Tamandua tetradactyla: one gene and its partner. The protein of the gene in region 1 purifies or fractionates together with the protein of each later gene. This does not show direct contact. Links are inferred from orthologs where the notes say so. Each region holds a gene or a part of one and is shown on either strand. Other genes may lie near its edges.

Region 1 (7,252 bases):
TTGCAATGTGACTGTGTGATGTGAAAACCTTGTGTCTGATGCTTCTTTTATCTACCTTATGAACAGATGAGTAAAACATATGGATTAAAAATAAATAAATAATAGGGGGAACAAATGTTAAAATAAATGTAGTAGATTGAAATGCTAGGGATCAATGAAAGGGAGGGGTAAGGGGTATGGTATGTATGAATTTTTTTTCTGTTTTCTTTTTATTTCTTTTTCTGAATTGATGCAAATATTCTAAGAAATGATCATGATGGTAAATATACAACTATGTGATAAAAAAAGAATGTTCATATGTTGATTGGTTTTATTAATAAAAATTAAAAAAAAAAGAACAAGAAAGAAGGAGGCTGTGGGAGGCGTACAAATGAGGGCTTTCCTTTTCTACTCCACAGAGCTCTATCATGTTTGAATTTTCCTAATATTAATTGTGTAAGAGGGTAAATAACCTTTTACACATCACATAAACCTGCCTACATTTTGGGTTATCTTCCTAATCAGGTCAAAAGGAAGAAACTTTTTAAAGTTCCTAGATAACAAACCTTAAAAGTCTGCATGTATTTCCATTCCCATCAGTGGCACACACAGGTGCTCACCTTACCACATCCTCACCATCACTGAGCACTCTCTCCTTTGTAAAGTTTCTATTCAATAGCTCTTCTAAACCTGCTCATGCACTGAGAATGTCAGGTAGTAGAGAAAGAATGAGAAAGCACTAAAATCCTTCTTCTCTAGTAAGGTTTATCCTTGTCACAGAGGAATAGCAACAAGATCTGGAAAGAAACCAAGAGGCAAGGATACCTTACTCAATATCCACTGAATCTCACCTCTTCATCTTGCTCCTCTGAGCTGGAATCAGCTCCATAATCATCTACCATGTTGGTATCACTGTCACTGTCCTCAGAGCCCCAGAGGTCCCCCTGGGTCACTTCCCCATCTTCCTCAGGGTCTTCCTTCTCCTCCTCATCATCACTGCTATGGGATGGTGCCCGACACTTCTTGCCCTGAGCAGTGCTGTATAAGGACTGGGCTGCCTTCTTACCAGGTGTCTGGACAGCTCCTGCAGAGATTTCTAAGCATTTAAAGAATCCTAGACTGATGGTAGTCACACACTTCCTTGTCCCACAACCCCTGGATCCTGGACTTTCCCCTAAAAATATCCTCCTGACTGTTCCTTTCTCCCAGAACTGCTGGCCAAAGACCCAGAGAACCCTCACATAGCACCCACCTATTTTCACTAACCTTTTGGCAGCTTTCCAGGCAATGGTTTAGCCCTAAGAGACTTATTCATCTCAAGGGCTTGAGCAGAGCCCAACCTCCTCTTGGCTGCCCTGGAAAGATATATGGGTGAGGAAACGGGAATACACCTGCAGGCTCTGCCATTCCCCATCACAGATTCAAAGCAGCGAGTCCCAAATCAGTCCTGCTCATCAGCCTATTCCATATGGCTAAATATGAGCAGCATCAGTTTAATCTATGTAAATCTGAACACCCACACTCACCTCTTTCGAGCACGACTAGACAACCTCTTGGAATTTTCATCACCAGCTGTAAAAAATAGAGGCAGAATAGGAGGATACAGGGGAAAAGAAAAGAAGTGGGGGAGAAAGTAAAGACAGGAAGAAAACTTACACTAATGAAAGGGAGTAGACTGTAACTCACTCCACAGTACTCTGCCAGAAGCTGGATAAAAAGAAACTAAGCACTCATCTGGCTGTTCATCAACGAAATTCAAACTGGGTCTCCCTTCAGACTTCAGGTTCTAATAACAAACATCATCATTCTCATAACAACCCAGATTCAAAATTTATCTTTTCTTTTGCCCTTTCTTTTACTCTCTATGTAATCAGTTACCAAATACAATAGATTTTTTCACAACTATTTTTCATAATTCTCCAAGAAATAAAAAATTTAATTTTTGACCATGTCATTTAATAACTACACAAGTCACTTAAACTCTCAGTTTCTACTTTTTCAACTGTTAATCAAGACAATAGGGCTGCCCTCACAGGCAGGATGAAATGATATCACTATGTCTAATGGGTTTGGTATGGTGCCAGGCATTTGGTAATACCTTAGGAATCTTTATCGTTTATACAAAGCCCCAAATAAACTACCTTCCAGTCTGCCCTCCCACCAGTCTGCCCCGCGGCACTCAAGCAGACTATCCACCAATCCACCACGGTAAAAATCAATCTCCATTTCTTCCACAATCCAGCTCACAGTGACTGGCTTGTCCCTTCCCACTTGCCAAATGCTAACCATTTTTCAAAACCTAGCTCCTTAGCAAAAAAAATATTTTGTAATTCCCTAACTGCCTGGGATTTCCCTTCCTGTGAACTCCCACGTTGTTAAAATGCACCTCTCCTTGCATGGGTACTTGTGTACTCGTGGCATCTCCCGTAAGTTCTAAATTTTAATCATACTGACAAATATTTCGTTCATACTTACTTTCCAATAAATCATACAGAGAAGGTTTCACTTGAACGGAAAGTGAAGAGGCTAAAAACAAGGGAGGCTGTTATTGATAGATAAGAGCAAAATCCAGGAGCTGGAGGGGAGCCAGGATTGACCCTGATTGACCCTTACCTGCAGGCAAGAATCTGGCGAGCTCTGTCTCGGCACCTTTCTGTTTACGGGCCTTTCGGCCCGGCCCGCGCTTCTCCTTCTTCGTAGGGTCCAACTTGCGCCCCATGATACTGGAGGGAAAAAAATCGAAGGCGGAATGGCGCGTTGCAAGAGGAACGCATGCTCAGGAATTAGCGCAGGAACAGAGCACCACCTCGACCAGAATCTCGGCTCGGAGCCCCGGACAGCCTTTTGAGACCCAACTAACCGCCACCCACCCTAAGACCCGGAACTGGGGTCCCACACACCAGTCCAGGTCAGCGCTGCCACCCTTCTTCCCCCGACTGCCTCCAAACACACCCTTTGCTCACCCGAAAGCCGGACGAGGCCTAAGCTGCCCCTCGGCCCCCCGTGCCACACTCCACGTGCACTCCCGAGCTAGCTTTCGGACCACCCACTCCACGGAAAAGTCCCGCGCAGGCGCACAGGCCGCACTCGCCTCATGGCCCCGCCCCTTCCGGTTACTGTTCGGCTGTGGCGGCGGGTCCGGATCCTGCGTCCGCTTTGCGAACTCGCCGGGGAGGTATGGAAGCATTCCGCCCCACATATAGCTCCCGAGGGAGGCGGGAATGGGGACCGAGCCGCTCTCAGCTCCCCCGATCCACCCTCCCGGCGATGACTTTTGGCCTCACGACAGATTTAAAGTAAAAAAAGTAGCCCTCGAACCAGGCTGTAACTCTCCCGCAACATCCCACCGACCGCCCTACGTCCAGCCTCAAGATCATAGAACCTGCAGGCCACTTAATCTCCATCCCCCAAACTTCTGATTAGGAAACCTTCTTCCTTGTACACCCCACAGACTCCTACTTAGCCCCACTCAGGTAAGGTTTCCCAGTGCCTAGGAAAAAATTTGCATCCTAGTTCCGCAAAAGTTGACCACAGGAACCTCCTTCCACCTGGCTTCAAATAGACAGTGAGGTAGTGCTTGGTAGGCGTCAAAAACTGTTCCAGGCACCTTACTGGTGTAATCCCTGCCATTTTATGAGGAAGCTGTCCTTATTTTATCTGTGATAAGTTCGTAGCTCAGTAATTAAAGAACATGCTCAAGGTCAGAGCCACTAAGCAGTGCAGGGCAGAGGCCCAGGCAGTTTGGAAGGCTCACTTTCCACAGGTTGAGACACCCTTGGTTGGGAGCACACCTGGCTTTGCCCACAGACACAAGGTAGTATCTAGTTTCATTTCCCAGGACTCCTGTCATACACACTCATCCACCTGCACCTACACCCACACTGAACCAGAGCACTAAAATACAAGGAAATTTTTATTTTCATCAAGAAATTTGCTGTTTTTTTTATGCTTTTTTTTTTTTATTTTAATTTTTCACTTTATTTCGTTCTAGCCGCTCAGTGGCTGGAGCCGCTGGGTTCCTGGTATTAAAAAGATGCCAACAGAGGTAGCTGTGTCTCACCCAGGGGCCCGGCCCACTCTGAATACCCCAAAAAGGATTAAAAGAAAACACAAATTAAACCAACAAAATAAAACCAAAAGGAGGAAGAAATTCAGATCATTTTCTTCAAGCCTGGCGGGAACCCACCAACAGTTTTGTGTGTAACAGACGTTACAGCTTTACAGCGGGGAGAAGCCAGGGCCCAGAGGGCCAGCCCACCAGCTCCCTGCAGATGGCGCCGGCGCTACTGCTGCATGTCTCTCCAGCAGGAAGGGCACCACTGCCCCTCACTCCCTCCCCCTCCCCCAGGGTTGGGGGGCTGTTTCTTTACAACATGGACGATGGGACAGAAGGAAGGAGAGTCTCTCAGGCCCCCAGGAGAGAAGCTGGGACAAGGGAAAGAGGAAGGTCACTGCTCAGCGGTGGAGGTGGTATCATCAATCTGGATCTTCACTGCTGCTGGGCTACCTGTAGGGAAAGAGCCAAGGAAGTCAGAATTCCAGCCCACAACAGTTAAGGGAATTCCCTGATAGACAACCCCGCCTGCCCAGCATGTAAAGCTAGGAACATAGTGCAATATTACAAGTTCCAGAATAGTTCTGCTGGAAGAACTGGCCAGAAGCAGAAAATGGCCCTACCTGCTGTGGGGGAGGTTCAGGTGCCCGGTTTGCCAGGCGGCTGAGAATGTTACGCTCTGACATCTGTAGCCTCACAGCAACTGGGGGAATTCGGGCAATGGTAGCTGGGAGTCGAGTCACATCGGCTTTCATGTCACTCAGCAGTTCTTCCAGCTGTTTCAGAACTGCAGGAGGAAAAAAAAGAGGTGGTGAGCTGTGGTGGTCAAGACTCATATCCTTCCACCACAGTGGACCAGCCCCCCATCACTTCTTAATGACCAAGTACCTGTGATGTGCTAGACTCTTGGAGCGTGGTCTGTCTTTTATCAGTCACAAGAAATGGCCTCCAACATGCTCCTATTCCTATTCCTCCTATTCCACGATTCTGTGCTTTTTAAAGTAACCTAAATCCTTATTTTCCCTTGCCTCTTCCACTTCTCAAGAGCGTATTCATCTCCTTTCTCATTCTTGTCTTTCCTCTCCCTCCACCTTCTAGATCTGCCCCCCACTCCCTTTATATTTAAAAAAAAACAAAAACAAAAAACCTTTTTCTTCATTTCACCATCTACCCTCTTTGCAGAGTTTTATTTTAATTAGGGACAAAATGTGGAAAGGGGCCTAGAATGTCAAGGGATCTTAAATTACCTAACATTACCTCTAAAGTATCCCAGATGACACATTATTCTGCTTTGCCTTCTACCTCCAAAAACATGAACATATTTCAAAGTTAAAAGGCTACGAATTGCTGTCTTGACTGCCTCTAAAATAGAAGCTTCCTTTCCAAGGAGGAAGGTAAAGACCCACCGCACATCCTACCCTTCCAGACAAAGGGACCCCCTAAGAAGTTTGGGAAAGAAGTATGTAAGTGTTATGGAGGGGTGGAGTGGGGAGGAGGCTGAACCAGCAGGAGGCAGGGGAGCCACTGGCTACCTTTGTGCAGGACTGCATTGGCTGGTTTGTTTCCTGCCATTGACTCCTTGGACAGATGCTGATGACTCTCTGCCAAACACTCCACCTCAGCAAAACGGGTATTTAGGGCCATGGAAGGGTGAGAGGGGTCCTCTGACATGTTCAGGTAAGCTGCCCGGCGCAACTGTTCCTCAATCACCAGGGCTTGTTCCAAGAGCTGGACAAGGGATGAAAAGGAGAGGGGAGTTGGACCGACATTCACTTGGCTTATTTCTGATGGGCCTTTCGGCCTCACCTAGTGGACTTGCCTTCTTCCTCCATATAATAAAATCCGATAAAGAACTTCATGGGTGGATCTACACCCAAGCTGTTCAACATTACATTGCCTTTTCTTTTTTTGGGGGGGGGGAAGGGGGGTCTCTTATTGAATCTCACACAGTAAGGATAAAAACCCAATTGAGAAAATACAGAATGTAGAAAGAATTAAAATTATACATGGTCCCACCTCCTACAAATATGTAAACATTTTGTTTTTCTTTCCAGATTTTCCCATGTGACGGAGATGTCATAATTTGCCAACATGGCTGCCGTGGTTGATGCAAGGCAACACAAAATGGCCTAGCCCGCGACCGGCTTTCCTCCCGGAACTAGTGGTGGTTTGCACCAAAAGCGCCAATCCCAGAAATCCGCCCTCCACCCTAGCAACAACGGTGATCAATCCTAGCCCGACACGTGTCCCTGCATGCTCCCAGCCTATATAAGCCTGTGCACTTCCTCAATAAAGCGGACACCTTCCACTCACCCCTGAGGGTTGTCTCCTGAGTCATGTGCTGTGTGCTGTGTGTCTGTGTGACTGACTCAGTACGGCCACTTACCCCCAGCCATCAGCTAACCAACACCCATGCCTGTATGTCTTTTACATAATTGAGATCACATAAATATCTGTATCATGTTTTCACTCAAAAATTCTGTATTGTGCATCTTCCTTTGTCAACTACTTTTCAAAATAAACTACTTCAAAAAAAACTACTCTTGCATAGTAGTCCACCTTATAGATAAACCTACCATATAATTTTTGTTTTACTCTTTTTAAAAGTAGTTTATAAAAATTAAAAATAATAAAACTTTTTTTCTTTTATCCCCGTATCTCACTCCATTCTCCTTCAGTCACGAGAACTTGGTCTTTGACGGGCAACCCTTCTAATATACTTACGTTGTGTCATTTTGTGTATATTCTTCAAAATTGGGTATTATTGTTTCATACACACATTTCTAGTTTACAGAATGCTGTTCTGTACATATAAAATGCTGTTTTGCTCATTATATACCTTTTTTAAAAGCTCATTTATGCTGTTACATGCATATATATTTTGGAGCTTTTAACTGTTGCCTAATGCTGTGATGTGAATCTACATAACACCTATTTACGCCCCCAATGTCAGTCATCTAGGTCGCTTCTAGGTCCCCACCACCAAAAATTAAATGCCTGATTAAGCTGAGGAGATCTTTGAAATATGTTCCAAGCAGCAAAATTGCTGGTTTTTAAATTAGTTCTTAAATACCCACTGATTCTTCAAGAAAATGAGGAAAGGGATGTCCTGAGAATAATAGACTTTTGTTTCTTCCACAAGGCCTGGTCCCATCAGTGCCTACTAATTTATCTGCAACAAACCAGCCACCTCTTTTGCTAACAACTCCCTCTTCCTGT
Region 2 (7,456 bases), on another chromosome or scaffold:
TCAGGGGAGCCCCGGTCAGCCATCACTGTGATCCCAAAACAAGCAGTGGGCACCAGAAGTGGCACCTGAGTTTGGGCAGGTACCCTCACTGGTACCTGAACAGGGCCTTTTCAGCCCCAAGGATCTGTACTGTGGATGCTGGGTACTTGGCCAGGTTGGTGAGGCTGCCAGCATGAGCAATAAGACGTGCACCTACCTGAAGAAAAATTTGAGGAAAAGGTCAGAGAAGTGGAAACTGCCTGTCTATGAATTGTATAAACCCCTGCTCACATTCCCATGGGGAAGATATGGTGGGTCAGAAAATGTAGCAGTGCAGACAAGCATGGTAACATCCCAATTCTCCCCGTTTGGTATTCACCCTGACGCACCGCTTCCCCAATGAGGGCCGACAGGCTAGGGGCCACTTGGCTCATCTTGGATCGCAGGTAAGCATGTAGGCTCTGGCGGTATTCTGACAAAGACACCACACGGCTGGAGAAGCTCTCGATGTTTATCAAATCGATAGCAGATATGTCCATGCCTAGGAAATATTATGTGTGAATATGAGAGCCAGATATTCAAGACCCAATTACTTTACACCTGGCTGCTGGGTTCTGCTGTACTGACCCATGGAGGACCGTGAGGCATCCAATATAGCCTTGGCCTTTGCGCCATCCATCGTCAGCTCCTCTAATTTCTCCAATTTGTCTTCATTCAGTTCTCTTCGGTTTCCAATGAATTGGGCAAGGCGGCAGTATGTGGCATTGTCATTGACAACCTTTACCAGCTCCGGAAAGTGGTATCCATACCATTCCCTGCAAAGAGCGATAGCTATCTCCTGGGTCCAGCTGCCATGTCTCATAAACAGTAAAACCAGACCCTCAGCTATTTCCACATTGACTGTTTGTCTGTAGGAAATGGGTCCAGCCAGGGTCCAAGCCCCTTCTCAACTCCATGTCCCCCCATTCACAATACAGACCAAGCACAAGGCCTGGGCTGTGGTGTAGATGGGGTGGGTTTACTCTGCCTCCTCTTTCTATACAGTCAGTGCAAGAACACAGCCTGTGGTAAGCACCAGGAGGTCCAGCCCCACCCCACCTGTTCTACCCACAGGAGCTGCTAATCCTCATCACAGGATTCAAAATTAGTGAAATCACAGGCTAAAGACCCCAATCTCAGGGGTCATCCCTACTCCTTACCTGACGCGCATAGAGAAGGTGTTGATGTCTTTATCCAGCTGGTCCAAGAGGCTAATGGACTGGATGATCATGTTGTCCACTCGGTTCACATTAAACTTAACTTTGGCACGAGAATAGCTGTGTCCCAGCCCCAGTTGTGCTTTACAAGCAGATAGATCGGTCAGACCCTTCACCAGATTATGGAAGTGCAGGCGAACTCCTGGAGAAGGGAAGGACTGTGAGCAAGGAAGGCATCTGAGCTAGCTCCTGCACCCATGGGAATCAACCATGGGGCTTCCTAGAAGCAACCATAAACATCCCCACCCTCAAAGAGGTCAAAGAATGTGTGAGTATAAAAGAGATGGGTCTCACCTCGCAAGATCTCGGCTATCACACCTCCAGTCTGGCAGTTGTACCCTAACTCCTCTTGTATAGCAGCACCAATCTTGGGGTCCCCAACCCCCAAAAGTACTTTCTTCTTTTTAGATGGCAGGTGGGTCTCCAAGAGCAGGCGAAGATCCTCATGAACAACGCCTTGGGGGCAAAGAACATAGCTCCCACTAACGTGATGAAGGATGCTTCAGGTATAAGGACCCTGACCCTCATAAATACTGATTTAATGCTAGAGACACCCTCTGTTCCTCCTTCCGGCATTGCTCAGAGACATGGAGACTTCAGTGTCTAAACTCAGGGGATTGACAGACTCACAAGTCATCACTGCAAAGCCTGGCTTAATGGTGGGAGGAACAGGACCTACGTCCAACAGCACAAGTATGAAATATATAACTAAGCTTAAAACATAACCTCAAACATGATACAAGTATCAAAAACTTAGCTTAAAACATAGCCTCAAACATGACAAAAGTATCCAGAACCTCATTGATCTCCTGGGACCAGAACTGTCTCTTCCAGTCAAATAAAGGATCTAAAAGGAAACCAGACCACTTGACTGGGTTTAGTCAAAACTGGAGCATAAGTGGTTTTAAACCTGCCCTTCCCACAAGATTTCGGTTAAGAATTACCATTCCAGTGCCCACAACGAAAAATTACATTCTGCATTGCAAGTTTTAAATATGAAAGCATTTCGTCCATCAAGTACCTCAAAGTTTGAGTTCTATGGAGACAGCTATTTTTAAATTATATTCCGTACATCCCAGTTCTAGAACAAAGTAACCGACGAAACGCAAGTACTATTGCTAAGCACCCTGCAAGGATAAATGGTGGCAGGAACCACATTTCCATTATTTCCCCTAAAATACTTTGGGGTGACCAGCTCACCTTCAGACACAGCATTGGCATTTTCTAAGGCAGCTTGGGAAGAGGAGAAGGGAGAAAAGGCCACAAGACGAACGATGTTGTGGAACTTGCCCAGGTTGAGCACGCACTCCTCTACCTGGGGGTACGAACAAACAGATGAACGGTTTCCTTCTCTCGTTCAAGCTTCTAAATTGCAGTAAAGCAGAAGTTTTCAGCCCTGGATGCACTTAAGAACTGGAAAGCTTTTAAAATATAACGATGCATCAGCCCCACTGCCTGCGTTTCTGCCTCAATCGGTACCAAGAGAGAGTAAAGTTTATTTGTTAAAGCTCCTAAAATGACTGCGGTCATAAATCAAGGTGAGGACCCCCGACTCTCGAGCTTTCCAGGCCCAGGATCTACCCCTAACACGCGCGGCGGCCACGTGGGAGCGCGCGGTGCATGCTGGGACCCGCGCTGGGCGCTCATCGCCGCGGGTTATCCACTTGTGCCGTGCGGACCCACTGATTCCACCCACCTGAGGCAGCAACAGACTGATCTCCTCCACCTCCTTCAGCGCCAACAGCGCGTAGCCGACCGCGTGCTCGAACAGCACGTGCAGCAGCACCTGGAACAGGAGCCGGGGCGCGAGCATCAGCGCAGGCCACGCGCCCGCTCGGCCCCTGCTCCCCGGGCAGGCCCCAGCCCAGTCCCGTAATCGAGTCCGAGCCCAGGCCACGGCCTTCGCCTAGCCCGCAACCCGCAACCACTCCTCACCATGGCGCCCGCTCCTTGCCCGGCTCGCAATGCGGCGAGCGGGCTCTGGCGCGCGGAAACAGCTTCGGAAGTCACGCCTTCGGCTCGTTGGCCAATCAGAGAGAGGGGACGGTACCATTTTCGAGCCTTCGGAAGGGTCCGGGTCCGCAGAGGTGGTATCTTCCGGAGTGGGGTGGTGCGGAGCGCTAAAGTGCCGGCCTTTTCCGGCCCCCTACTGTGGCGCTGGCGGCAGGGTTGCTGGGGACGCGCCGACCTGGTCGGCTCCAAAGCCCTCCAAAGCGCTTTGCAAAAGGGTTTCTGTGGATAATAGCCCTAGTTTTCGAGTTTTCATCATTTATGTTAGGTGCAGCAGAGCTTGGTGAAGTCCGTGTGGGAGGCACTGCGTGGGGAGCGGCGATCAGCCCAGGCAGGAGATTTGCCCTCATCGCGGTGACTTAGGGCTCCGGACCCCTCACTCCACCTCGAGTCCCCCGAACCCCTGGTACCGGCCTTCCGCGCGGGGGCGAACCCTTCAGGAGCCCCGTGGGCCGCCGCGCCCTTTTCCTCCTTCTCTGGATTGGAGGTCTGAGACACACGGGAGCAGACCCTGCAGGAAACTTATATTCCTCGTGGCTTTCGTGTTTTTTGGGTTTTTTTTTTCTTTTCATTTTTAAAATGGAATTGATGATTAATCAAGTAGTAAAGAAAAGTGCCACCACGTGTTCCCAGGCCGGTTTCCTACTCCCTAGACTCTGCTCTTTGCGGGCCACGTGTTGCTCGCTCACATGGACGCTCCTAACTGCGTTACACTCTTAACACTCACGCAGACCTAAGTGAGTTGGAGCTGCTGCCCTGTCCTCCAGGGCGGCTTTTGGACACATGGAAGACCACTTTGAAGTTACTTTGGCTTTAATAATTAATATTAGAGTTTTGAATCCCAAACCTGATTATCCTGAAGTAGTAGGTTTCCTGGTAAATTTAGAATGGTCATTTTAAAGGGATTTTTATTTATTTATTTAATTTTTTTGCATGGACAGGCACCGGGAATCGAATCCGAATCTCTGGCATGGCAGGCAAGAACTCTGCCTGCTGAGCCACTGTGGTCTGCCCGAGGGATTTTTATAACTTGGATTCCAATAACTATAAACTGCATTTATAAATGTAATGTTTTGTTTTCTTAAGCAATTCAGTTACTTGTTAAACAACCCAAGAATTACCTCACTTATAAATCTAATACATTACACTGAAAAAATGTTTGGTTTATCTTATCTCTTAAAAATCTCAATATTGCTTACAAGCACGGTTAAATTCTGTGTGCATAGCAATTTATGATGGCAAGTCTGAATCAGTTATTCCATTTCTCATTTTAAAAGGGGAACCGTGAAATTATCTATTACATACTTCAGTACATTAAATTCTAAACGTAAATATGCAAAATACCAATAATGATTCTAAAACATAATGAAAAATATTAAGGCCATCATTTGGATTTACTTCCTTATTTCCATAGTTAATTCTAAATCTTCCTGGTGTTACTGTTTTTCCTGTAAGGCAGGGATTTTCAAATCAGAAGCAGAATCCATTCATGGACATAGAATTAATTTAGTTAGCAACAGCCATTTAAACAACAACAGAATCAGGATTAAAGAGATTAGAAAATAGGGTATGCCATGTAGGATAAAAGATAGTAGTTTGTCAAACTTCTGAGTGTGTGTGTGGGTATACATACATATCTACATACAGACACATACATTTCTGTGTATTAAGTCATGATATGAACAATCTGAGTCATCCACTGAGGTGAAAGTTAACTAGTTATACTCAAGTTTTCTGGTTACAAACTACCTGTTGCTGAAGTAGTTTGCTGATTTAAAGAGATAAATATAGAAAAATGTACTTCAACTAGTATGATACAAATGCTTACAGGTAAATGGGAATGTGGGTAAATGCCAAAATAAAATATTCCTTTGACTTCCTTTTTCTCTCCCTGGCACCTGGCCCTCCCCTGATGTTAGAAAGTAACTGTCCCTTCTCTTGGGCTGTTTGCTCCTTGTCTAGGTTGGGTCCTTACAAGGAAAGTGGATTTTTACAAAGTTTTTGGTCTCCCCTTCTGCATGCTACCTTCCTCGTCACTGCCAGAGTTGATCTTTCTAGGCAGAATATCCAATTAGGTGCTATTTGTGGCTGCACATCTTGGCTTGAAGTAACGGAGAGATTAAAGGCCTTGGTTTCACAGCATCACCTATAGTCACCAGTCTCCAAAGAAGGTTACCAGCCATCCATACCTCCTGGTATCATGTCGTTAGTTTTGTACCCCACTCCACACACACACACACACACACACACACACACACACACACACACACACACACACACACACACACATTTACCTGGCTGCTGTGTGACACTTTAACAGAATGCAGCAGAAGGGATTCTGGGCCTGTTCCAGGCCTCAGCCATTTGCATTCTTGGAAGCCTTTAGTTGCTTTATAAGAACTTTGGTTACTCTGCTGGAGAAACCATGTGGAAACAGACGGAGGTCCACCTTTCCCAGTGTATTCCAACTCTCCACCATCCAGGCCAAGGCCCTGGACTTGTGGGTTTTGATATTCCAGCCCCAACTGTCATCTGACTTGAGCAACATGAGAGACCCCAAACGAGAACAGCAGAACTGTCTAGTTGAGCTCCCAGAACCTACAGAATTCTGAGATATAATATATTGTGGTTTTATGCCAATAGTTTAGAGATGGCTTGTTAAGCAACAGTAAGTACAAAACTGAGTCAGTAGGTTTGGCTTCAAAGCCTGGTGACGTTAATTTAGTTACTTATTTTCCCTGAACTTTCACTTCTTCTGAAGAATGAAAATGGAGAGTTTATTCACCCCTTCAGCAAATATTTACTGAACTTCTCCTATAGGCATGGTGCCTCAGGTAGGAGGAGCTCAAAAAATGTTAGGGGTCTTCTTTTGCCTCATTCTTTTGCCCCTTTTATTGATAAATGCATACACATTTCGTGTTACCTGTTGTCAGCTGAGTCCCAATTCTCATCTGTCTCCATTTTTGATACCCCCTCCTGCTCTGATTCATTCCCATCACTTCAGCCTTGCCTTCTGCATATGGACACTTCCTCTCTAGACAACTCTAGTTTTATGTATTAAAACAGTTATATATTCCTTTTTCAATTTCTTGTGGCAACAGACAGTTTACTGTTACCCTGATTAAATGTTGTCAGAACCTGGAAAACATGTTCGATGTGTAAATGACAATTGTTGGTTACCAGCAACATCTGGTATGAAGTCTTGTTAAGGTAAGAGTTGTTTAGAAATCCTCTCTCTTCCCCTGCTCCTCTCAGAATAGCAAGAGGGCTTATGAGACCAACTCTCCAATTGCAAAGGAATGTGGGGGAGGCCTCAGTTATTCATGCTCAGTTTCTAGTGCCATGTCCTAGGAGCCCATTTACCCTTGCTCAGGGATGGCTGCTTTGGACTGGTTCCCGGACGTGTGCACTATGTTTTCTGAGATAGGCCAATGCCAGCTGGATGCTCAGACTCTCCAAGCTCCAGGTGCCCTCTCTGCAGGCCTCCACTGCTTCCATGCTGTATGAGCACTCAGGTATCTCCAGTGAGGCCTGTGAGGTCTCTAGGATCACTTGCCTGCACCTGTAGGCTACAGCACCAGGCTCACAACCAGAGGGACTTTCATTTCAACACTTCCCTTACTAATACTGTACTAGCTTTCCTCTGCCTTACTGACAGTTGTATCACATGAAGTGTGTGATTTTTTTTCTAGAGCACAGGTCAACGAACTATCGACTAGGGGTCAAATCCAACCTGTGGCCTGTTTTTTTCATTGAGCTTTACATTTTTAAAAGATTATTAAAAAAAAAAAGAATAAGTGATAGATACTATATTTGGTCCATAAAACCTAAAGTATTTACCATCTGATGCTTCATGGAAAACGTTTGCTGACCTCTGTTGTAGAAGCATGCAGCTTTATCTCTGCCACAATCAAGGGAGCAAGCAGAAATGAACAGACATGAAATGTGTGGACATGAAAACTCCCATTGTTGAAATTAAAGAAATGCAAATGGCTCATTAATAAATTAGGTACAACTGAAGAGACCATTAGCAGACTGAAAGATGTTGTGGAGCCATTTTTCCTGAGATAAGGAGGTGCTATGGAATGAGAGGCTATAATTTCTGCCCTGATTGGAGCTCAGAAGTCAGGAAGGAAAAAAGGAGGAAGCACTCTATTTGAAGTGATAATGGATTCAGTGTTCCCAGAACTGATAAAAAGCATGGATCCAAG

Evidence for each region.
Region 2: the proteins of NOP2 (region 1) and NOP56 fractionate together in Homo sapiens (co-fractionation; 3 studies listed by BioGRID and IntAct, with this or other methods). This does not show direct contact. The link is inferred for Tamandua tetradactyla from reciprocal best matches to the Homo sapiens genes NOP2 and NOP56.

Annotation. Positions count from the first base shown.
Region 1 is NC_135333.1:68,856,608-68,863,859, forward strand, and holds the start of NOP2 (28S rRNA (cytosine(4447)-C(5))-methyltransferase), read right to left. Parts: upstream 3,057-7,252; 5' UTR 2,943-3,056; intron 2,703-2,942; 5' UTR 2,699-2,702; coding exon 2,593-2,698; intron 2,506-2,592; coding exon 2,455-2,505; intron 1,552-2,454; coding exon 1,506-1,551; intron 1,335-1,505; coding exon 1,246-1,334; intron 1,064-1,245; coding exon 831-1,063; intron 1-830. Other genes in the region: CHD4 (chromodomain-helicase-DNA-binding protein 4), read right to left, coding at 4,469-4,486, 4,657-4,820, 5,566-5,761. UniProt on the Homo sapiens protein: S-adenosyl-L-methionine-dependent methyltransferase that specifically methylates the C(5) position of cytosine 4447 in 28S rRNA. Required for efficient rRNA processing and 60S ribosomal subunit biogenesis.
Region 2 is NC_135327.1:24,397,266-24,404,721, reverse strand, and holds the start of NOP56 (nucleolar protein 56), read right to left. Parts: upstream 3,064-7,456; 5' UTR 3,049-3,063; coding exon 2,932-3,048; intron 2,551-2,931; coding exon 2,436-2,550; intron 1,881-2,435; exon of another isoform or gene 1,811-1,880; intron 1,692-1,810; coding exon 1,530-1,691; intron 1,378-1,529; coding exon 1,179-1,377; intron 1,064-1,178; exon of another isoform or gene 932-1,063; intron 795-931; coding exon 607-794; intron 521-606; coding exon 369-520; intron 197-368; coding exon 96-196; intron 34-95; exon of another isoform or gene 1-33. UniProt on the Homo sapiens protein: Involved in the early to middle stages of 60S ribosomal subunit biogenesis. Required for the biogenesis of box C/D snoRNAs such U3, U8 and U14 snoRNAs. Part of the small subunit (SSU) processome, first precursor of the small eukaryotic ribosomal subunit.